Linked DNA regions of Alligator mississippiensis. The protein of the gene in region 1 binds, or shares a complex with, the protein of each later gene. Links are inferred from orthologs where the notes say so. Each region holds a gene or a part of one and is shown on either strand. Other genes may lie near its edges. The genes, in order: NUP107, NUP133 and NUP93.

Region 1 (8,011 bases):
TGCATAAGTTGAGGCGATTTCCCTACTGTTCCCAAGAAGGCAGATGCATCTGGCTGCTTCATGGAACTTCGAGTTTGTGAAGTAACTGAAAAGTAAAGAAAATGTTAAAAGCCAGAGTGCTTTGCTAGGGAGTTCCTATGATTAGTAACCAAGATTAAAAGTGTTTATAAAGTCCTGTAATTAACTGTGGAAAAAGGTGAACCAGTTTCTCTCTCAAATTATTCTCTATTAATTTTCTGGATTTTGAGAGCAGGCTTGAACAGAAAGAGAGTATCAGCTCCAGCAAACTTTATATATAAAGAAGTAAAACAATGCGTGTAGAATCACAAACTGCAAGTAAACCATAGATGGAATTACACATCAAAGGAGAAAAAGGATTCTTACAGGGGTGATGAAATAATGATACCGGAGTTTGGGGAACCAATTGGTTCTTTGGTGTTACACTACCAGGACTGTCATCCAAGGATGCAAGACCTGTTGAACAAGTTAAGAAAAAAAGTCTCCTAAACTTTGTTTCATATTTACTAATAACAGAACTACTACTGAAATACTTTATCAGATAAGCAAATTATCTCTTCTACTACCATTTAAAAAAAAATTGCAAAGCACTTCAGGTATGTACATCCAACCCAGGAGTGGGCATATTCCAGCCCACGGGCTGCATTGGGTCTGCAACGGACCCCATTTCCTAGCAGCCCCTGCCTGTGTTGCTGTAGCTGGATTTCCATGGAGACTCCAGGAGTGGCAGGGCCATAGGTTTCCATGCAGTACTGGCAGGGTGTGCAGCTGGGCAGGGAGCTGCTCTGGGACCAGGATCTTGTGGTGGAGACAGCATGGTCTGGAGCTGGAACAGAGCTGCCATCTACTGCTCACAGTACCCTGCCTGCTTATACTGCACATTTCCCAAGCAATATCAGCAACAGGAAACCGACATGAATCCTGTCAATTTTACTTCTGGCCTGATGATTTGGAAATGGAACAACAAAAAGGGCCACCACCTTATTAAGCTAATTTTGCAGTAGTTCCAGAAAGTAATAGAAAGAACAGATGCACTAGAATTTTTTACCATCAAAATCAGATAATTACTATTGCATTCATTAAATTTATACAAAATGGTTCTAACAATAAAATAGCTATAGTGAAAATGAAATATTAACATTTCCATTTCCATAGTCAATTATATTCATTTGCTAAATCAAAACCCCCAAGTTTTCTAATAATGTTGAAAAATTTTGAAGGGAAACTGAACTAGAATCTAAAAATAACAACACAAAAGACAGAATTAAAACATTCCAGGTGTTACTCCGAATTCTCACTACCAATTTTTTCTATCTCTTTCAGCTTGACAAACATGCATGAAATAGGAATAACTGGCTATATGTTGGATACAGTAAAATTGACAAAATACAAATGCTGTTGAAAGCCTAAGTACAACAGAGGGATTGTTTTTACTATGTAATCTTTCACCAGTAAACACACACTACTTTTGAACAGTAGATTTAAAGGTCTTAGAAGTGGTATTTCAAAGTTAGTGAGTGATATTTCAAAGTTAGTGATGTTCCTTTATATTATGAACGTACAGGACAAGAAAATGCAAGTTTCATACTAGTGTTATTTCAAATGTGCATAATTTCAAGGAATACAATACAGTACTCTATAGCAGTTGAAATTAACTAGATCTCATGGGAGCCATAATTGCTATAAGCCAAAACCAAGAAAAAATAACTATTCCATGGTGCAGTCAAAATATTAGAGGTTTCACAAACACGCAAAAACCTTGACAGAGAAAGGATACTAGAAACTCTTTTTTGAGAACTCTGTTTTCGAGCAGGCCTAGTCATCTCCGCATCTTGTGGGGATGCCACATTTCCAAAATCAGTCCTACAAAACAGAAATGTAGTAAACAAACAAATACAAATAAACAGATTTAAGCAGGACAAACTATGGGAGAAGAATTCTATTTTCTTTTGCTAATTAGATTGTACGATCAATAACTACTTTCAAATACTTTAGAAAAGTAAATAAGTGTAGCCAGTATTTTATGAAATTAAAAAGAAACTACTTTCTCAAAATAACCCCCTCTCCTCACCCCCCCCCCCCGCCCCAAACTCTTGTGGTTGTTTCTATCCAGCAATGTCCTTTAACTTAAAAGAAGAGGGAAATGCTTGAGAAGAAACAAGTTCTCCACAGTGCTGAAAAGATTACGCTACAAATATTAAGTAACTAACTTCACACTCATGGGAAATATTCTAACAGATGCACAGTAGTCCCTCCCACAGCTAGTCCAATTTTAACTAACATCTTTGACAAACTTGAACATTTATGCTGAAGTTCTAATACTAGCTGATTTTACATGAGAACAGAATGTTTTTGAAAAAGTTTAAACAAGTCACATAATGGGTTTATGAGACATGATATTTAAAATAAAGAATGAAGTGAACTCACACCTTTGATTCTTTCCCCAAATATTTTGATTTATCTTTGGCCCATGAAGTTGACCTGTGCTAAGGAGAAGGGAAGATTTAGCTTTCCCATAAAGCAAAATGCTTGTGAAATGCAAACTGCATATAGACCACCAAATACATAATATTTGTAAAGTTCCTAGACTCTGTGGGAAGCTTCAGAATCCAAGAAGTTAACTTATATGCACAGACAAAACTGGAACTTCACTTAGATGAGTAAGTTCAAAGGCCTGAAGAGACCAGCCTCCACACTGAGACACTCCTATACAGCACAGACCTAAGGAACTCCCACAGCAATTCCTGATCCGAGTGCTCAGCTTGTTTGAACTATAGCAGGGCTGTCAAAGTTGATTGGCTCATTTCCCCCACACCACCCCGAGCTGGATCTGGACTGCAGGGCTCCTGGATCCAGATCTCCAGCAGCAGGGCAAAGCAGTGGTGGCATTAAACAGGCAGTTTATGCAGAGGCTCAGACATTTCAGGGAATCAAAGCTTAATACAGCTGTTGCTCACCCTGCCAAAACACATTCCCAGTGGGACTTCATACTCTTAAACTCAGAGGAAGGCCTCACCCCTGCTCACCCCCAAGTTCCCAACCCCTTCAGGAGCCCCATATGCCAGATGACACAGCTCTGCAAGCCAGATCCACCCTACAATGACACCCCTGAACTACCACATTCCTTTAGAAAGATACCTCACCTTGATTTAGAGACATCACATGACAGACTACCCCATATCTGCAGATAAGTTGTTCCATCGGTTCTACCCTCATTGCACCTCATTTCTAGTTAAAGCTATGTGAGCTCCCAACTTCTGATCCCCGTGCCTCCTTGTAGCTTTTTCTACAAGGTACGTGTACACTCAAAACCTCTTCCCCAGATAGCCCTAACCTCATTGCCTTCTCTGATATAAACCAAATAAACTGAACTCTGATAACACATTTTTTTTCAACCCTTGTTAAAACCCCTGGCAGTTTTTCATAGATGTTAGAGGCTGGAAGAGACCTTAGAAGATCATTGAGTTCAGCTCCCCTGCACTTGGGCAGGAAATACTGCCGGGGTCAGATGACCCCAGCAAGGTGCATGTCAAATCGTTTTTTTAAGCTCTCCAGGGTAGGTGACTGTACCACCTCTGGGGGGAGTCTGTTCCAGACCCTCAACACTTGAATGGTGAAGAAGTTTCTCCTTATGTCCAATCTCAAACGATCTTCAATCTGTTGTTGTGGCTGTCGTTTCTTGCCTTCCCCTTGAGGATCCCTTGGTGAACAGATGCTCCCCCAGGCCCTGCTGTGCACCCCTGATATACTTAGAGGCTGCCACCAAGGCTCCTCTAAGTCTTCTTTTCTCCAGGCTGAACAGTCCTATGTCATTTTGCCTTTCCTTGTATGACCTGCTCTCCAGACCTCTAATCATGCATGTAGCCCTCCTTTGGACAACCTCGAGCTTCTCCCCATCCTTCTTGAAGTGTGGCGCCCAGAACTGAACACAGTACTCCAGCTATGGTATCACCAAGGCCTAGTAGAGTGGGAGGAGAACAGGCTTAGTCCTGCTTGAGATACATTGGTAGATGCATACTCGTGTTTGATTTGCTCTGTCAGCTACAGCATCACATTTGTGGCTCACGTTCATTCTGTGATCTGTTACAACCTCCAGATCTCTTTCAGCTGCGGTGCTGGCAAGTATAGCACTGTCAAGCCTATAAGTGTGCTGTGGATTATTCCTCAATGGAATAACGATGGAGCACTTTACATTTCTCAGTGTTAAAGATCATCAGGTTTTGATCCACCTACCTTGCAAGCCTGTTCAGGCCTGTCCTATATCCCCAGCCCCAGCACAGTCCTCCAGTGTGACTGTGCTCCCCCATTATCTGGTGTCATCCACGAGCTTCGCCAGTCTGCTTTTCATATGCAAATCCAAATCACTGATAAACGTGTTGAAAAGCACTAGTCCCAGCACTGAATCCTGAGGGATGCCACTGGTCACCTTCCCCTGTGTTGACTCAGTGCTGTCCATTAATAGACTCTGGATGCATCTTGCACTCAGAGCCAGTCACCTAGCCTGGCAAGTGCACTACCTAGCCTCAGAGCCAGTTTCAACCCTTTAAACATAGTCACTCTCATAGCTTTTTTCTGAACCTAACCCAGAGGACGCCGCAGTCCTGCTCCCATTGCATTCAGGAATACCACACTGCTACGCCTGCTTACATCCTCCTGCAGAGCTCTCACTCCCCCTTTCCTCAACTGTGCACTTGCCTCAAGGCTAAGTCTCCCAGAGATGCTGCTTTCAGGGTACACCCCTCCTTCAACACATTTCCTTCCCTCCCACATGTACCTCCTAGCGCTAAGGGGCACTGAAACGCACGGTGTCAACTAACGCAGACTAGCAAGAGGGTGCGTGTGTGAACAAGAAGGGTGCTTCCCCACCAGCACAAGAAGATACAACGCGCGCTGGCAGAGCGCCCTGCTGTTTGGTCGGGAAACCGGCGGTGGCAGCGGCTCTCGCCCAGGCCGGGAACGAGCTGCCAACACCGCGGCCCCGCTGTCAGTCCGCTGAGGGAGGGCGGCCCTGCGGCGGGGGCACCATACGAGGGCCGGCACAGCCCCTCCACGAGCTCCTGGAGCCGGCGCAAGAGACCAAGCGGAAGCCTCCGACACGAGCCCTGAGGAGAGACCGCGCCAGCGCAGCCACCTGCGGCAGCCCAGGCCAGGGGGGGAGCTACTGCACAGCCCGCGCCTCCCTCCGCCCTGAGCGCATCGGGCATGGGAGCCCCTGGCCACCTCCGTCCGGCGCTGGCTAGAGAGAGGAGAGGCACTCACCAGTCCATGCCGGCAGCCCCGGCCGTGGCCACTACTTGAGCCTTCCCGCGTTCCGGAAGCACCCGCCCGCCACCGGAAGCTGACCCTGCACCGGCGCCGCGCGCAGAAGGCGCATGCGCCTCCTGCCTGCGCGCTGCTGCCTGCGATGGACGAGGCGGAACTGTGGGTGCGCGCATGTGCACATTAGCCTGCGGTGGCTCGGGTGGGCTGCGTCCCTCAGCTCTGGGGCAAGGGGCGCCTTTCCTGTGCGGCCTGCTGGGGGTCGGGGGCTGTCAGTGAAGCTTAATGCTCCTCTCAAGAGTGTCTTACGCCAGGCATTAGGCCTGAGCAGCAAACAGCGCTGGGGCACGCCCGCCTCTAGGAGTAGGTGGGGCCGGGGGGCTGCCCCCTGCGTCACTCCTGCCTGCAGAGTTCAGTGCATCTTGCACTCAGAGCTCCTCTGGCAGCATAGCCTGCTTGTTGCAGGCACAGGTTTGCACTGATTTTTTTTCTCCCATTAATATATTTCGTGTTCCGGATCAAGTCAGCCAAATCATACTAATTGGTCAGAGCTCAAATCGTTCTGAAAACCTCATTGATTGAGCAGGCAGAACTCAATCTCTTCAAAACACCATGCATGATGCTACAACCGGCGGGCATCCTCCGTCGCGGGCTCTCACTCTAGGAATTCAGATAGTCCCAAATCTACTGGCAGGCATCCTAGTGCAAGCCTAAAGCCAGAGGGCTTCAGATTTAGGTACACGATCCACAGAAGCTCGCACTCCGATGGGGCTGGTGGCTAACATTATTGCAGCAGAACAAGGCGAGTAGAGAGGGGTGAAGATGCTACGTCAGCCCTTTAGGGACAGGATCCTAGAGAAAGCAGGAGGGATGGGGACTTCCAGGGTTAGCTAGTCCGGCCCTATCCAAACCATCCGACAAAACCGTAAGTTAACTCCACTACCCTTTTTATTCCTTCACTACCCTTGCACAAGCACAAACCTAACATCCTACGCTAAAGCAGGCAACATCCTAGTTCTGTAAAATATTGTCAACATTTACAAGGGTTGAAAAAAAAAAAAAAGGGTTCAAGAGATCTGGGGTAGAGGGCAATACCCCAACTCTGCAAAGGAAGGCAAACCCCCCACCCTCCCCCTCTGCCCCCATTGGTTGAGACCTTCCCCTCCCTACCTTTTTGCTTTTTTTTTTTTTTTTAATTTATTTACTTCAGCCATAAGCACCTGAACCATGCTTGGTTGTCCTTAAGCACAGTAAATAAGAAATAGTGGGTTTTTTACATTATTTAGTTACACCTACCCGATAATAGTTTATCATTGCTGGTGGACAATGCCAGGAGTTAGTTCCAAGTAATTTAAATCAGACCAATTTTTAATAGATAAGGATCACCCACAATTATGCCAGTACATTTCAAGACGAGATGCACAAAAGGGGTTTTGAGCCATCTGGGGCACCTATCATCGAGTCTTACACCATATGAAAATAAAACTTTAACACAGGCAGGCAAAGTCAAACCCATGGGCCAGATCCAGCCAGCAGTGGACTCCGTTTCCCAGTAGCCCCTGCTCTGTGGCTGGAGCCACTTTCCATGCAGAACCCAGCAGCAGTTGCCCCATGACAGTAGGGGGCAGGGTTTCCATAGAGACCCCTGGGAGGGGTGGCTGTGGGGAATTGAGGGGTTGCTCTAGCTGCTTCAAGCCCCACCCCCGGCACCTCCCCTGCTGGCAGGGCAGAGAGCTGCGTTGGAGCTGAGCTGGGATCTTTCAGCCGTGACAGCGTGATCCAGAGCCAGGGCAGAGCCGTGACCTGCACACCCCAGTCCGGGGCATGCATGCTGCAGATCACAGCTCTCTGCCCTGGCTCAGGATCACGTCACCGCTGAAAGATCCCAGCCCAGCTCCAGAGCAGCATTGCACCCTGCTATTTGCCCTGCCAGTGCTGGTCTCGATGGGAGGCCAGGGTTTCCATGATCACAGCAAATCGGCTGCTGGGGTGTCCATGGAGACTGGCCCCAGCCGTACAGGCAGGGGCTGCTAGGAAATGGAGTCCAGCTGCTAGCCGGATCACCCATTTTGTCTATCTCTGCTTTAACAAGTCACGAGTTGCTAAGAAAAATACCTGCTCTCCCAAAGAAAAAGCCATTAAAATGATTATTAAAAACCAACAGTAAGAAATCCATCATACAAGAACACAGGAAAACTAGCAGAAGCAAAACATTTACTTGAACTCTCTCCAGTACAAGCAAGCAATAAGCACATTGTGTTGCTTCCCTTACTCTTGGCAGTAGGTAGGGTGCAGGATCTTACCATCCTCCCCTTCCAAATTATATACACCATCAAAAGCTTGTAATGTCAGATTCTAAACTAATATATTGTCTTATACTAGTGAAGGAAAGTGCATGTGACAACTTTATTTTAAAATTGAATCTACTCTTTCATTTACACAGTATAGAATGTAGGAACCCAGCTATCTGGATTTTGGCTCACAAGCCTACTACTCTTAGGTGTTATAGAGATGAGTGGGGCAGCCTTCCTAGTTTTTTATAAATTAGAGAAGTAACATGCTGTGCTAGAGACTAAAAAATTCTATTTTCTTAAACTGTAGAACAATCATTTGGTAGCAGGGGGAGGGACAAGAGAAGGAAGCTTCATTGTGCCCAGTATAAACATAGGAATTTAATATATGGGTAACTAGGAGTTTCAGGGATTGAAGTGCATACTCCTCTTTCACCTGAAAC
Region 2 (8,011 bases), on another chromosome or scaffold:
CTCTTCAGGTCTTTTTTCAAGTGTAAGCACCTTAAACTCGGGATTCTTTTTAACATGAGCCTCTCCTTTGCCGTCTTCTGATTAGCTCTTTAAGGTACCATAGCGAGAACAAGCTCTTCTAGAAACAGGAAAGAAAGGATTGTATCATATGGTCCCAAAGCTCACCTCTGCTAAAGCAGACTTATTCCAAAGGCAAAACTTGTTCAGAAATAGTCTCATAGATGCAAGGGGTACAATTAATCTCTAATAAGGATAATTTAAACAGGATCCATGTGAGAAACTCAGGATGTGAAAATGAAATTTGGTTCAGATCTCCCCTCTGCCTAATACCATTTTAAGAAGGGATTTCTGTTAACCCTCCTGCAGAACACCATGGGAGGTTGGGTACCCCTCTTACATGGCATGTTCTTTGTCCCTGGCTTTTCTCTGCATTATTATCAGCATCTCTTGTATAGAAGAGAAGTAAATGGGATTTTCCAGTGCAGTTGTGAGCCCCGTTGAGCTTGTAAGCTCTTTGAGGTTGGAATTGCCATCTTATTAGAAGTTTTTTAAGAACAATCACAATGGCACCCTAACCTAGTCAAAACCTGTATGTACTACTTTTAATCTTGATGTTTTTATGACTGCCTGGTGGCCAGGGCTTATTACTAGGGACCTACTTAATTCATGGAGGCTGCCTCTGTATTTCATGGTCTTGGCATGGCATCAGGTGCCATTTTCACAGCCGTGTATGACAGGCCCTGCCACACCTTCAATCAAGGGATCCCAGAAGTCCTGCCTCTTCTCCAAAACTGACAGATGGCTACCTGTCAATCTCCAGGGAGAGGTGGGACTTCCAGGGGAGCCCTCTGTCAATATTCCCCTCTCTCCCTTGTTCCCTCCCTACCCTGCCACCAACGCTGTGCTCCAAAACACCAGGGTTTCCTGCCCTTTTCTGTTTGCAGCCTGGGCACAGGCATGGGGAGCAGAACAGCAAGGGCTGGCGCTGCTTAGAGCCACGAAGCAGTAGGTGGGACAGCTGCAGCTGGACTCACGTCTTGGTGCTGGTACAGAGCTGCTGCCAGAAATGGAGCTAGTGGAGGCCGGCAGGGGCTGTGGTTTGGGAGTGAGGGGTAGGGGCAGGGAACTGGCATATCAGCGCTGCTCAGTGTCCCACATCCTGGTGAGCAAAGGGGGCAGGGGCAGCTCTAACTTTTCTATGACAAAAAAAACTAAAAGCAGATGCCAAAGTGTGTAGATACTTAGAATTTGTTTATTATAATGATAGAGGCACTGGGTAGGCTTCTGAATTCCTTTAAAATTGTAAATATATCAATAAAACATTGCCCAACTGATCTCTCTATATATAGTGGTATTTAATTTTAATCGTGGAGGAACATGGATTTTCGGTATTTTAATGAGAGAATTTGAGGGTTTTTTATCAGAGAATTTGCGATTTTTAGACGAGGAACACCAGGATCTCTATTGGTGAAGCAAGGGGCAGGAACTGGGCAGAGGAGCCTGCCCAGGGACAGCACTGAGGACCCAGCTGGAGGGCAGATGAGTTGGCTGACTTCCTGGCCATTTGGGGCCAGGAAGGGAAACGTTGACAGTAGGGCCACTGCAAGGACCACATCTTCTAGGTGATAGCTGTCCAAATGGCAGAGCCAGGGCACCAGAAAACATGAAAGCAGTACTGCCTAAAGGCCATATCCATGGCCCACTGGCAGCTGGCCCAGAGGTGAAGGTGGCTTTGCTGCAGTGCCCATACCATAGCCCCGGTGGCCATGCAGCTTCCGTCTAGGTCTAGCAGATGTGCCGCCATGGGGCTGCAGGTCCAAGAGGGTGGATGCTGTCGCAGGTGGCAGCAGGTCACAGCCAGGCACCAGCCCCCACTGCCAGACTGCTGCAGTGGGTAGAGGGTGCAGGGGCCACTAGGTTAGGGCTGCTTCATCACAAGGGGCTAGTGTCCTCAGGTACCAACTGGCCCCAGCCTCAGAAGCTCCTGTCTTATTTGTATCTTCCATATTAACATGGGCCTTAAGGCCCACCCAGCTAACTAATAGCCTTTGTGGAGCCAAAGGGTGAAAGATGCAACTAATTTCTTGGATAGAAATGATGTGGGGGTCAAAGGATCAAAATGTGAAAATAAGTTCTCTAGAGGGGGACCTCAGAAGCCCCTGAGGGCATGTAGCCATGAGCTGCTAGCCAGGGCCACTGCAAGCACTTGGCCTACAAGAGATGAAATGCAAAAATCTAGACCTCTTGGTTTCAAAACGATACCTTTCATTAGACCAACTGGGGACTCGCAAAAAAATATCCTTTTCTCCAACCTTTGGGCTCAAAGGCCGTTCATCAGGCTCTGGAAAAAGTATAGATCGTACATTTTGAACACTTCTACTACACATTGTACAAAAGTTGACATTATCCGAGAAATACGGTAATTATCCTACATAAGGTAACACAGCACCCCTCCCAGCCCCGCTCTGCGCATGCGCCACAGCTAACTGCGCGCCTCAAGCCTAGCCCCTACAAGCCGGCGGCCGCACACCAAGCCCCTCCCCTCCCCTCCCCTCCCCTCCCGCCCGCAGTGGTGGAACAGAAGCCCCGCCTCCTCTGGGTGGGATGCCCTGTCAGGTTGGCTATTAACGGCTCTGGAAGGGGCGTGGCTGGGCGTGATGTGAGAGCAGTGCGCGGCGCAGAGAGTGACGGCGGAAGCCCCGGCGAGTTTGGAGGCAAGCGGGTCGGAGCGCGCGCGCCCGCCCGCCCTTCCCCCGCTTATCCTAACTGCCCCCTCTGCCCACCATGTTCGCTGCTCCCCCCGCCTCTCCGCGCACACCGAGTGGCTCGGCCCGTCGGGCCCTGGGGGCCGCTGGGGGCTCCGTGTCCCGGCCGGGCGGCAGGAGAAGCCTGGCCCTGGGGACGCCGGTCGGCTCTCCCGCGCTCTTCTCCCCGGCGGGCAGGAGGAGCGGCTCCCTGTCAGCACGGTGAGTGCCCCACCCCACTCGCTGCGCGGAAACCCTTGCGCCGCCTGGGCCCCGCCCCCTGCTGCTGCCGCCGCCTCGCTTTGGCTTTGTTGCCCCTGACGCGCATGCGTGGGGTGGGCGCTTGGCTACCCGCACGTGCCGCGCCGCGAGGTCTAGAATGGCGTGAGGTAGGGGGCGTTGTGTGAGGGGAGACCTGAGAGGCCGGTCCTTGCCCGAGTCCGAAGTCAGTCAGGAGGTGGGTATCAGAGTGCCTTTGGAGAGCGACACAGGAGGGAGTGTGTTTTGTGTGTCAAGTCTTTTTTTGATGCATGTCTGTATCCCTGCCAGTGTGATAACTTTTGCTGATGCTTTAAGTGTGAAATCGGTGAAGTTTCTTTGTGGAGATACATTTTTTTTCCCCCTTATTAAAAGTGCCAAAAATGTACAACATGAGCTTGTGTGAGCCCCAGTTCCCTTCATCAGATGCTGGGAGAGGATGTGCAGAAGGCAGAGTCTTCGGGGGGAGGGGAGAAGAAACTGGGATGCAAAAGCTTTTCCTTTCTGTTCTTACACTCTGCCTCATGTGTATCCTTTCCCAGCATCTGTTGGAGGGATCTGGGGTTCACAAAACACGCACTCTCTCCCACACACCTCTCTCTGGATAGGTGTCTATATCTACCTGCATCTAGAGCAGCGTTTCTCAACCCAGGTCGCAACCCAAAAGTGGATCTCAAGAATATACAAAAGGGTTGCAAACAAACTTGAACAGTGGATCAACAAACTTTTAAAATGGATTCTTCTTTAAAAGGGAAAAACTTGGCAAACTGTGGCTTTTCCCTTGCAGGCTGGTAGAGCTCCAGCTTGCCAGGGGCTGCTTGGGCCCCCCCCCTTGCCCCACATACCCACCCCCTGACCTACACACTGTGGGGACAGGGCAGTGGGTCAGGAGTGAGAGGCACTGGGTTGGCACTGGCTATTGATGTTGACAAATGGGTCCTGGTACAAAAAAGGTTAAGAACCTCCAGAGGCCAGTTGGGAAGTGGGGGCAATCAAAGCGTGCAAAAGCAAAACCAGAAGTCTGTGGGAGCAGAAAGCCTAACTACTTTTAAGAAGTGAAGTCATTAATGTATGTATGTTGGCCTGTAAGAGTAAGGGAGTGGATTTGATGATCTAGGGCGATGGTGTTCAACTCATCTGGCCGTCTGAGTTAGGGCCTGTCTGCAGAGGCTGGATCCAGCATGTGGGACCATGTTATGGAGCTACCCATGGGCCCAGAAATTTACTGGCACGGGAGCTGCAACAGTGTTAATTGTCATGGCTCTGGGAGCTGTGGTAATTAATGCTGCTATACCACTCCCTTGTCAAATTTCCAGACCCATGAGTAGCCCCGTAGGCTGAATGACATGGCTCTGTGGGCCATATCTTGGTCACCCCTGACCTGGGGGATCCTTTTAGAGGAACAACAAATCTACTTCCCCTAATCAAAAAAAAGTTCAACTTTAATATTTATGGACTTGGGCATTGTTGATTTGTTTGCTACATAAAGGAACTAAGGTTGTATGAAAGAGGCCTATCCCTAAATTGGGGAATTTAAATAGGATAGCCTTGTTTTATATTTTCTTAAGCTTTTTAATGTTTTCTGGTGGGAGATATTTCAAGATTCTGGGGCAATAGTTTTTTAGTTGGTTCCTGAGTTTATAGCAAAGTGGGGGGAACTTTGATTCCCAGGCCAAATCTGGCCCACAGGATCTATCGCAGGGTGGGCAAAATATGGCCCACAGCCTGGATCAGGCCCGCCAGTTGATTGCATCTGGCCTGTGGCACTTGGATGGGAGACGGTGCCAAGGCATCCTGTGCCACACTCCTACTGTACTCCTGCCTGTCACATCCCCAGCCAGTGTGCACAGCTTCTTTTCAGGGCTGCTCTGGTTGTGGCTACAGCCGCCTGGGTACTGCTCAGCTCTCCCCACTTCCAGAAGCTCCTCCTCCAGCCCCTACTACACTGGTATGGGTGGCAGGCAGTCACGGGGAAGGAGTGGTGGCTGTGGGAACATGTTCCAGGCACCACACACCCAGCCAGGTAGGTGGGGAGGTGTGAGGAAGCTACAGCTGGACAACTTCTGCCTCAGCACGCAGGGCTCCAGCTCCTGGCCAGTGTTCCCTTTAAGGTGTAGCAGTCCATGAGCGCGCCGTTTCGATCCGTTCCCGAATTGGTCCCACCTCCCCCTTTCAGCACGCGCCACTTTGGTCTGCCTCAGTATAACAAAAAAAGATGATACTATAACCTTTATTTACCAAAGTGACTCCTGTCTACCTTTTTCTGTTTTCCAAACAGAATATACAGTGTCCAGGTTAACAGTCTTTCCTGATGCTAAATGAAGTTTACTTTGCATCAGCTTGTCCAGATTATCAGCTTCTAAACGATTTCTAGACTTTGTTTTTATTGTGTTCATGAGGCTAAACCCTCTCTCACAATCTGCACTAGATGCCTGGAAAGTGGCACAGATGTCAACAAGTAATGACAGTTCACTAAATTGTTCCTGTTGTAGTATGTAGGTGACCATGTCTTCAATGGTCTTTATTGCCCCAGTTTTCATCTTCTCACTAACAGTTAATTTAAAGTCCACATATTTTTTGCATAGTTTCTTCTTCAGAGTTTCTACAGATTTGTTTAGCAAGGTGCTATCTATGTCTTGTTGCCAATGCTTTCAGCACCTCGTGCCCAAAAGAGAAATCATTCCTGTTTGATGAAGAGGAAAAAGAATCCTTATAAAAAAATTGACCATTCTTTCAACTCGCCTTCTGGAAATCTGTTGTCTGTGTGGTCACATGTATGCTCAATGATTTGAATAACTGATGTAGTGTCAACAGGTGATTCAAATGATGACAGCAAGGTTTGAACGTTTTCAGAAAAATATACAGTCTCACCAAGATACTGAAAAGCAAAATTTGGCAATTCTAGCTTTAGCAAACTGAAATGCTTCTACTGTTGTTAGTGAACTTCGTTGAAGCATTCTGCACAGCTCAGCCACTTCACCTAAGACATCATTTAGTATGACCAGTGCAACATGATACTCTGGTTTCCGCAGTTTGTCCAAGCAATATTTGTGAATTGGGTCATCGTCTTCAGCCATTTGTTGTGTGCAGTAGTTCATCAAGGTGCTAACAGTAAAATGTCTAGAGAGCCATCTGGCCTTATTCAGTGGTCTAAATGATGTTTCACACTCAGCAGCCTTAGGTAGTTCTTCAAACTTAGATTTTTTTACAGAAGACCTACTAAAAAGTGTGTATATGGTCTGTAGTAGAGTTTCAGTGCACCCCATCATCAATGCATCATCAATCCCCAAGTTTTCCCAGTGTGCCACGCAGTGCTGCTTGAGCAGATGTGGAATAGACTGGCGAAGTACTGCAGCCACACCATTGCACTTTCCAAGCATTACTGAAACACCATCAGAGGTAAACACTATCTTTTGCATATCTAAGTTGCTGTCAACATAAAATTGCCTAATAGTGGAGCTATCACAAGCTGTCAGCTTTAAAATTCCAGCAAACCTGTTCAGATGTGTGAAACCATCCATAGTTCAGAATTTTACTTACAGTATTAACGTTTTGCTAATAGAGATACCTGTGCTCTCGTCAACTATCAAAGTGTGGAATGCGATGTACACATTTCATTCAGTACTCCCTGATGAATTACAGAATTTATGCAGTCAATAAATTGAAATGCATAATTCTTACTTCTCCAGCTTTCGGGAATTTTAACATATTTACCAACGTGACTCTGGATTTCCTGCACTGATAACATTGATAAGTTTAACTTCACTGTGAGGAGAACATTATCAATTAAGACTTTTACCTCATCGGCATTTGATCACTTCCTTTCAGACAGTTCTATCCTATTTTCCCGTGTCTCGCATGTTTCAGAAAATGAACTTTTCAGGATTCCTCTGCTTTGGTTGCATAGTTTCATCACAGAATCTGTGTGAATCTGTCAGTTTCGAACATCTCCTTCAACCAGTCTTCTTTGAATCTTGAGCAGCTCTTCTTCTTAGCTCGTCCACTGCATTCATCCTCTTCACACTTATGCTTGGACATTGTAAAATGAATATAAAGATGATCCTTGCTGCAGGGAAGATATTGGCCTTTCTAGAATGATAGAAAAAGCAGTTAACTTACCCAAAGCACCTTGTCTGCATATGCCCTTAGACCAACACAGCTGTAGCTAGCACTTTAATACTTTAAAATTTAAATGCATAAATTAATGACAATAAAGACAAACCACTAAATGGCTAAAAAACTGGTGCCAGCCCCCACCTCGCCTCCGGGAACACAGCTTGGAGGGAACCTTGGCCCTAAACACTGGCCTTTCTTTGATTTGAAATCTGCTTTTATTTCTGCAGTGATGCATTTTAGGGAGTAGAGGATTGGGTATTCATTTGGAATTCATTTATTTTTATTTTTCACTTATTAACATGACTGTTTTTGATGGTGGAAAGATAACAACCAAAGGTCAAATCTCACTTGGATACAGCTCCTCTTTATTTAAATAGGCATGTGAATTTCAATAGGAACTTGCTGTATTTTCCTAAACTTATTTTATAATCATTAACTTGTACCATTTTGAGCTTTTATGTGTCATATATTGGCAGTATAAAATAGCAAAGGCCCTCAAAGCCAGGAACCTCAGCCCCCGTTCCTGCATTGCCTGTAAGAGTGGAGCAGTTTCCTGGCCCTGGCCCTGGCCCCAGCCCCCACCTTGCCATGCCTCTGGGAGTAAGGAGGCACATGGCGCCAGGGCTGGGAAGCAGAGTAGTTCCCCGGCGCCAGCCCCCGCCTTGTCCCCGGGAGTGGAGCAGTTTCCTGGCCCCAGCCCCCACCTTGCCATGCCTCTGGGAGCAAGGAGGCACACGGCACCAGGGCTGGGAAGCGGAGCAGTTCCCCGTCGCCAGCCCTTGACCCCTGCCTCGCCAGCGGGGGCATGCCTGCACGCTCAGCCCCCCAAATGGGGCATGGGAGCTGTGAGTGGCTTGTCTGGAAGGTGCCCGGTACAAGGAGGGGATGATGGC
Region 3 (8,011 bases), on another chromosome or scaffold:
AAAATTAGGTGACTGTGGTGCTGATGCCTGCACAGTCAGATGGGTCACAATTTGGCTGGAGGGAGTGGTGGTGGATGGGTCATTTTCATCCTGGAGGGATGTGGGCAGTGGGGTTCCCCAGGGCTCGGTCCTCGGGCCTGCACTGTTCAATATCTTCATCAGTGACTTGGAGGAGGGGGTGAAAAGCACCTTGTTCAAATTCGCAGATGACACTAAGATGTGGGGAGAAGTGGGCATGCTAGAGGAGAGGGACAGGCTACAACTATCTCTGGACAGGTTACAGGGGTGAGCAGATGAGAACAGGATGGGTTTCAATACTGACAAGTGCAAGGTACTGCACCTAGCAGGGAAGAACCAGCAGCATGCCTACAAGCTGGGGAACTCCCTTCTCATCAGCACAGAGGCAGAAAAGGATCTTGGAGTCACTGTTGAGTCCAAGATGCATGTGGGCCACCAATGTGAGGATGCGGTCAGTAAGGCTAACCGCACCTTGTCATGCATCCACAGATGTATCATGAGCAGGTCCAAGGAGGTGATCCTCCCCTCTATGCGACACTGGTCAGGCTGCAGCTGGAGTACTGTGTCCAGTTCTGAGCGCCACACTTCAGGAGGGATGTGGACAGCATCGAGAGGGTCCAGAGGAAGGCCACCCACATGATCAGGGATCTGCAGGGCAGGCCCTATGAGGAGAGGCTATGGGACCTGAACATGTTCAGCCTCCACAAGAGAGGGCTGAAAGGGGATCTGGTGGCCATCTATAAACTGGCCAAGGGAGACCAGCAGGCAATGGGAGAGTCCCTGTTCCCCCAAGCACTACCGGGAATAACAAGGAACAAAGACCTTAAGCTGACTGAAAGTAGATTCAGACTAGACATCAGGAGGTGCTACTTCACTGTCAGGGTACTAGGTTCTGGAACCAACTTCCAAGGGAAGTGGTGCTTGCTTCTACCCTGGGGGTCTTCAAAAGGAGGCTGGATAATCACCTAGCCGGGGTCGTTTGACCCCAGCATTCTTTCCTGCCCATGGCAGGGGGTTGGACTTGATGAGCTGCTCAGGTCCCTTCCAACCCTCCCAACTATGAAACTATAATCTTTCTGATTCATTATTTTGGAATCATACAGGCTCCATAGGTTTGTTAAATAAAGCCATGGGACTTCATTCTCTGCTGAAGGGGAAGGGATCCTATGGTAAAGAGATTCTGGAAGCAAGGAATAAAGAACAGGAAGTGCTCCCGCTGTGAAGGCTTCATTACTGACTTGGAATTGAGAAGACACAGAACCTGTGGGAATGCATGCAATGCCTACATGCAGGGCTGTCTCTGCTGACTGGTGCAGAAGGGGTTGAATCAAATCCTTGCCCTTATCTCATCCTTATTTTAGGGAAGGGTAATTTTTGGCTCTAACCTGGAGCATAGATTGCACTCACAGGTCCCAATCATGCAAGACCTTTTGTGGCCTTTGCAAAAAATACTGAATGTGTTTGGGTGCCTGTAGATGTACAGGAAGGGTGCTCTGTAATTACAGCATGTTGGAGCAGACTCAATTAATCAAGTCTGCTGGAGTGTGCTAATTAATGCACTCCAGCAGCCTGCATGTCTCATGTATTCAGCGTCCCCATGCTTTAAGATGGTGGTGGGGGCCCTTTAACTAAAGCTTGTTCAGTAAGCTTCAGTTAGTGCTCCTACTGCCATTTTGAAGCATGGGACATTGATTACACAAGACACTGAGGGCACTTCAATTAGAGTGGCTCTCTGAGCTGCTCTAAATACCCCCCCTTCCCCCCCTGGAGCATGTGTAATAACACCCTTTAATTCAAATCAGCATTTTTCTGAGTTATGGATGCTCTTTACCTTGCAGAGTCTAGATCAGGGGTCAGCAATGTTTTTGAGCAGAGTGCCAAAAACACCCACAACCTTGACTTGTAAGATGTTGGCATGCCGGGGGTGGATGGCAGGGGCTGCAAGGGGCCAAATACTTGTTGTGGCAGTGCAGGCCTGGTCCACTCTCCACCGTCTGCCCCAAGGTGCGTGTGCCAAGCAAAATGCCTTTGCATGCCATGTTCTGGCACCCGTGCCGGGGATCGTCCACCCCTGGTTTAGATCATTTACTGGCTCCTAGACTGGAATACAAAGGGAGAGAAGTTTTGCATCCACCCCTTCACTTTGCAAATCTGTGACAATCTGATTCATACTCAAGGCCTAGGGTCTTGGGTGAATTGAGCAGGAAATATGATCTGTTAAAACAAATAGTCAAGCCAGCAGCCTCCCACCCTTATCAAGTTGTTTGGAAGGACAGTTGTTTTCTGTCCAAGGACAGGGCACCTCTGTAAGTGCCTTGTGTCTCCTGTAATTTTTCAACTCACCACTGTGCGTAGCAAAATCTTTAAAAAAATTGTAGAGAAAAGAAAGAAGGGGAGAGAAAAAAAATCCTCTCTCTCTGCTTTCTCCTCACTGGAGACAGCTGGCATTTTAAACTAGAATGCTGGATCCAGCGTCCTTGAAGGACCAATGTCAGATGTTGGCATTATGAATGTCAGACACCAGACGATCACGCAGCTCCATGTCACCAGCAAGGCAGACAGCATGAAACAAATCCAGATGGCAAGGTAAGAAACTACTAGGCAGGAGGGAGGGAGAAGTGTTCTCCGGCTGCCTTTTAAATATTGCTACTGATCTTTCAACCAAAGCACTTAATAGCCTCTGAAGGAGCAGTATCTTCACCTCTTTACCCTTTGGCTCCAGCTTATGCCACTAAAATGCAATCGGGGGTGGAGGTGCAGGGCAGGGGGAGATTGGAATCTGCTGCTGATCAGGATGTGCCCGTGGTAGGAGGAAGTATAGTGAATACACTGGGGGGAAGAGAGATCATAAGACAGTTACTATGCCTGGCCCTCAGGCTTTAAATTCTGTTTTTAGAGAGTTTGAAGGGTGAAGGGCATTTGATCCCACTCACTCCTCCGAGTGGATTTTACTGTGGAAATCAGGGCATGCCCATCCGATGATATTACATTTGAATCTCCCCGCAGAAGATCTATAAAACTAGAGGTGACTGTAGCCTGTTAGGCTGAGATCCCCAAGAGGGAAAGTCGGCCACAGCAACCTGCAAGTTATCCCTCACTGGGAGGCTCCGTGCTAGGCCGGTACAGCCCTCCAACAGGGAAACCAGCCAGGAGGAAGAGCAGCGCCCTCCCGGGCAGCCGCACATCAGAGTTGCTCGCCCCAGAACAGCCCAAGGCGGAGGCCGTGAGAGCAGCCTTGGTGCGCACCCTGATCGAGCCCTGGCCTGAGGAGATGAAATGAGGCCTGTGACCCGTACAGGCCTCCATCCACCTCCTCCCGCCCCCGCCCGGGTGTCGGGGGCAGGGCGGGGCGGGGCAGGGCAGGGCCGGGCCAAGCAACCCCAGGGCCACCGCCAGGGGACACCCCGCCCCTACTGCCCGTGTCTCCTGCCAGCGCCTCAATAAAGTTTTGGCGTGGGGGCTGCTGGGAGCTTGGTGGCTGCTCCAATCAGCGCGTGCGGCGCGGAGTGGGCACCCGCGGCGGAAGGACACCGGTAAGTGGCGCCGGGCCGGCGCGTGCGGGACGGCGGCGGCGGCGGCTGTGGCCTCTGCGGCCTCCCCCCGGGGCCACGTGCGCGGCCCTCAGTGAGTCCCTGTCCGGCGGCTCGTGCTCGCCCGGGCGGAGCTCCCGGGCCCCGGGCTTGTCAGCGCGCCGGGCGGGTCTGCCCCGAGCACGAGCTTCCCGGCTTGTGTGGGCGCCTGCAGCCGCCTGCGCCCTGCCCTCTGGGGCCTCCCCTGCCTGGTCTCTAGTGCGGGTTCTCGGCCTCTTCAGCGGCCAGGCCCCTGCGTTAGGCTCCAGCCCCCTCGGAAAGTGCCCGCTCTTAACTTTCCCTTGGATTTCACTGGTCTGCAAAGTACAGCTCTCCCCAGCCCGCTACTTGACTTCAGACTAAGAAACCATCACTATCTCTTTGTGCTGACTACCGGCCATTTCCCATTTGCTCCTTTTAGGCTTTGACTGGACTAACCCATCAACAGGGGAAAAGGACTATAGGGAAACAAATGGCATATGACAAATGTCCTAGACACGTTAAAAAATATCTAACTGAAATGCGTACGGTGTGGTTTTGCTCTCCTCTGTTCTCTGCATTCTCTGCCTTTCTGACCAGCAGTAGCCTCAAGTATGTTCTCTTGATTGGGACACTAGGTTTACTGGACCTTTTTAGATGGGATCTGATTTGTCTTCTAGCCCTGGTCTCTACAGGGTTGCAGCACAAAATGCTGACTTGAGTGCAACCAGGGTTACAATCTCCATGGGCAAGGCAAACCTCTTGTTAATGTGGTTGGAGTTTTCTTTTGTTAAAACTTAGTCTTTTGACACAGTGAAACTTGATGGGTAGATGCACACCACTCCATGCTGCTGGCTACCTTCCCTGGCCCAACACTGGCCTTGGCTCAGTAATTCTGTCACATGCACAATGCCTGTATTTTTGGATGTGTGATATTTTTTTTTTTCCAGCAGAGAGGCTATCTCAGTAATTTCTACATTTCTTTTGTAACATCCTTTATAATTTCTGAGTGTGTTGAGTTTTTGTCTCCCCCCCCCCCCCCTTCCAAATAATGGTAGCTTTCCACGTAACAGTGGTTAGCCTAGTATGTCAATGGTCTGGGCTCGGATTGGGTGCTTAATGTATATAGAAAGGAGTTTGGGGAAAAAGCATGAATTCTGAGGTAACAAAACTGACAGGTGACACTATTACAGGTTTCCTTTGCTTTATGCTGTACACGCATTCCTGGAAAACGGTGCATACCTCAAATTCATACAAAGGGAACCCACTTTACAATGTAACAAATCGGGATACATTCCAAGACCTCGATTGTACTGACCCCCACTTTACAAGACCGTTTTGGTACTTGCCAACTGCACAGGGTGGTGGTGAATGTTACCATAATAAGGATGGCAACTGCAGAAGCACGTGTCACAGACCACAAGCGAGGAGCACAGATCCACACAGGCAGGGCCCTGTCCCTGTGGCAGGGGTGAAATGGGGTGACCACCCCAGGCCCTGTGCTTTGTGGGGCCCTGCAGAGCTGGGTGGAGCAGCAGCGGCACATCCAGCCACTCGCTACCCCCCACACCACCGCTGGTGCTGACGACTGTGGCAGCTTCTTTGGGTCCGAGGCCCATGGGATTGGAGTAGGATTGGGGCCCCGCAAACGCTGACTTGCCCCGAGTCCTGTACCCTGCTTGGGTATGCTGTGCACGCAGGAGACTATATTTGGGTGTGCGTCAAAGCAGCTGTCTGAGGGCTTCCACCACACTGATCACATAAGAGTGAATTTACCTTGTATATAATGAATTTTTGGTATAAATAGCTCAGCGGATAAGAGTGAATTTGCGCATACAGAACCTGCATAAAGCAAGCAAAACCTCTATTTAAGAGGCAAGGGTCGAGAAACCTGAGGAAAACCTGCATGGTTGCTTTGCAAGTTGTATAGAAACATAAAAACAAGCTGACAGTCAAAAATACTAAAAAGCTTGTTTGCGCAATCAACAAGTAGTCTGCAGCGTTCAGGTTATAGAATTTTTATATCAAGGAGTTGTAAAGCCAGAATTTCTAGTGGTTGGTGAAAACTTGGAAATGGATGGTTGTTTTTGTAAGTATTATTTTTATTGTAGGATTTTAAATACAGGGACCTCCAGAAGCTGAGAGAAAGGGAGGAGCCATCAGCAAAGCTTTGGGACATGCCTTACTGTATAGCTTAGCAGCTTCTCCATCTTCTGAGTAGAGAGAAGATGTTGGACTTGTTGCCAAAGTGCTGCCTTGCACCTTCTTTAGGTGGCTTGATACTGCTACTCCTAGCTGCCCCTAAAGCCTCTAGAAAATCAGCAGTGTTAGAGTCTCCTTTTCTCACAGGAGCTTCTTGCTCATCCTTGGGTTTGTCTTTCTTTCTCTCTCTCTCCTCATGATTAGTTTCAATTTCTATAGGTGCTGCTGCTGGTAGCTTTCCTAGGGAAGCTGAGGAGTCAAATTGACCTGATTCTTGTCTCTTTCATTGTTGCTTATGAGTTTCTGAATGTAAAGGGTGAAACTGAACCAGACTTGTCAATTTCACTTTGCTGCAGTAGTACTGGAGAGGTCTGGTATGCAGGAGGGTAGATAGTATATCTTCATATTCATTTTCCATTTCGGAGAGATCTTCAAAGCTGTAAGTGGTAGATGGCCTTAATAAAAGATTGGTAGACTATATTCAGAGTTTAATGTGACCACTCTACACACCAGTTATAAAACAATGACTTGTTGAAAAAATATATAAGTAATGGAGTCTTTTTAACCTTGAGTTTTGATGTCTAACTCTAAATGTGGGTACTTCTATTATATTTTAGATATTTTATCTGTTATATTATCTTTCATAGTAATAAGCTAAAAAAATTAAATTGCTCTATATTTCTCAAAGCTAATTAATTAGATGACACATACCTTTCAGTATTTGAAAGATAACGGATGATGTTCACATATTTGAATATTTAAGCTTTGAAGCCTGTTCAATAAAATATTCAGCATGGCTATATTTGGAGTACATTAATTACGACATTCTTCATTGGGCAGCATCACTGTCGTCTTGAGGAGAATTAGTCGTTTTTTTAAATGGCAAATCATCATTTAAATCAGTGTGGAGTTAACAAACCATACCTGTCATTGCCTTCCAGTGCCCTTTTGGCTTAAATTCAGTCAACTACTGCAATATATAATGTTTATTTTTAGTTTCCAAATGTTAGAGAACTGTTAAAATGGAGTTTTATTGGACATGGAATAGTAGTTTAATGCAGCAGCATCTATTGATAAGTTATCAATGTTGTTTTACAGAAGAGCCTTTTCAGTTTCGGCTTTTAGCCGAGGGTCGATCTGGCTTTACAGAAGTTAGTTTAATTTCTTTTGTCTGCATTTTCTTTCCCTTAGGTGTCAGTTGTTGCTCTTTCCTCAGCCAGACATGAAAATCTGGCATCATTCTGCTCATTACTGTGGTAGCACTTCCCATCTTGAACAGCAGCATTAAGAGTCATACTGCAGTCTCTTGAATACAGTAAATTCTGTGAGTGGAAAGACTAGTTTGCACAGTTGCTTTATCTAAATATTTGAATTTTTGACGTTTAAAAAAAAAATGTGATTGGTGTTCACTGTGTAGATGAGAATGAGTTGTGATTTTTACAGGTTTATTAACCACAGTTAATTAATCTTATGAGGTAAAAAATGATGCTTATTCCAGATTTACTGAAATCCATCCGTCTTTGGAGTGGGTTGCTCCAATATTTGCAGTTATGGAAGAAACCTTTCGTGGCAGTGACCCCAAGTCTGTGGCCAAAAATGCAGTTTAGGGAGCTGTTCTAGAGTGCACTGACTCTTCATGCTATCTAGTTTCAGTGCTCTCTGAGAAGTTAGCGCTTTATGCTCCTGGCTTTTTATCTATGTAGTTAATGAAAAAGGGAAGTGGACCAGATCAAACTGAAGTCTGTGCCATTCTTACAGTCAGTGCCACACACACTGCTCTCTTGAGAACTGATGGTAGCGGTCTTAACTGTATGGGAAGCGTGGTTATTTAGGTCAGTGCCTGCCAACAGAGACTGCTACTGGTAGTGGTGAACAAGAGATCTCTGCCAGGGGGAAGTGGCACACGAGTAAACGCAGGAAAGATGTCCTGTACTGCATTGCAGGGCATGAAAGTGCTTTTTTTTTTCCATTGGCTTGCTAATCTCATCAAACAAATCCAGTCTTAGCAGTCTAGTCTGGGTATTGATTAGTAGAAATTCAGTTGTCACCTGTGCCCCAAAACAGCTGTAATTTTGCCAAAAGTGTACTGGGTATGTTTATGGGACCCTTACTTCCTGGAAGTAGGTGTTAGTGTGCTGATCTCTGTGCAAAGTTATTGAATGAAATGCTTGTGCATTGTTTTTTCTGTTCGGTACAAAAGTTTGAATTGCCAAATGTAATGCTTCAAACCCTGTTCCTGTCCA

Evidence for each region.
Region 2: the proteins of NUP107 (region 1) and NUP133 are in contact, whole or in part, in a crystal structure (PDB 3CQG), measured with the Homo sapiens proteins. The link is inferred for Alligator mississippiensis from reciprocal best matches to the Homo sapiens genes NUP107 and NUP133. Residues at the interface, in NP_065134.1 of Homo sapiens: Leu875, Gln876, Ala878, Asp879, Val881, Ser882, Ser883, Glu884, Tyr889, Lys894, Leu897, Arg898, Leu900, Leu901, Gln902, Arg905, Ser908, Leu909, Leu912, Asp917, Pro918, Leu919, Tyr921; in NP_060700.2 of Homo sapiens: Trp937, Leu938, Ile941, Asn942, Gln944, Leu946, Tyr963, Ala965, Lys966, Lys968, Thr969, Leu970, Gly972, Leu973, Lys975, Leu976, Ala977, Leu979, Ala980, Ser981, Asp982, Ile992, Glu999.
Region 3: NUP107 (region 1) and NUP93 share a complex: the UniProt entries of both Homo sapiens proteins name them as parts of the nuclear pore complex. The link is inferred for Alligator mississippiensis from reciprocal best matches to the Homo sapiens genes NUP107 and NUP93.

What each region holds. Positions count from the first base shown.
Region 1 is NC_081827.1:69,368,199-69,376,209, reverse strand, and holds the start of NUP107 (nuclear pore complex protein Nup107), read right to left. Parts: upstream 5,300-8,011; 5' UTR 5,286-5,299; coding exon 5,278-5,285; intron 2,505-5,277; coding exon 2,448-2,504; coding exon of another isoform or gene 2,446-2,447; intron 1,882-2,445; coding exon 1,796-1,881; exon of another isoform or gene 1,777-1,795; intron 475-1,776; coding exon 385-474; intron 86-384; coding exon 1-85. UniProt on the Homo sapiens protein: Plays a role in the nuclear pore complex (NPC) assembly and/or maintenance. Required for the assembly of peripheral proteins into the NPC. May anchor NUP62 to the NPC. Involved in nephrogenesis.
Region 2 is NC_081824.1:149,063,502-149,071,512, forward strand, and holds the start of NUP133 (nuclear pore complex protein Nup133), read left to right. Parts: upstream 1-2,673; 5' UTR 2,674-2,784; coding exon 2,785-2,966; intron 2,967-3,121; exon of another isoform or gene 3,122-3,201; intron 3,202-8,011. UniProt on the Homo sapiens protein: Involved in poly(A)+ RNA transport. Involved in nephrogenesis.
Region 3 is NC_081833.1:36,479,635-36,487,645, forward strand, and holds the start of NUP93 (nuclear pore complex protein Nup93), read left to right. Parts: upstream 1-2,416; 5' UTR 2,417-2,604; intron 2,605-3,444; exon of another isoform or gene 3,445-3,551; intron 3,552-8,011. UniProt on the Homo sapiens protein: Plays a role in the nuclear pore complex (NPC) assembly and/or maintenance. May anchor nucleoporins, but not NUP153 and TPR, to the NPC. During renal development, regulates podocyte migration and proliferation through SMAD4 signaling.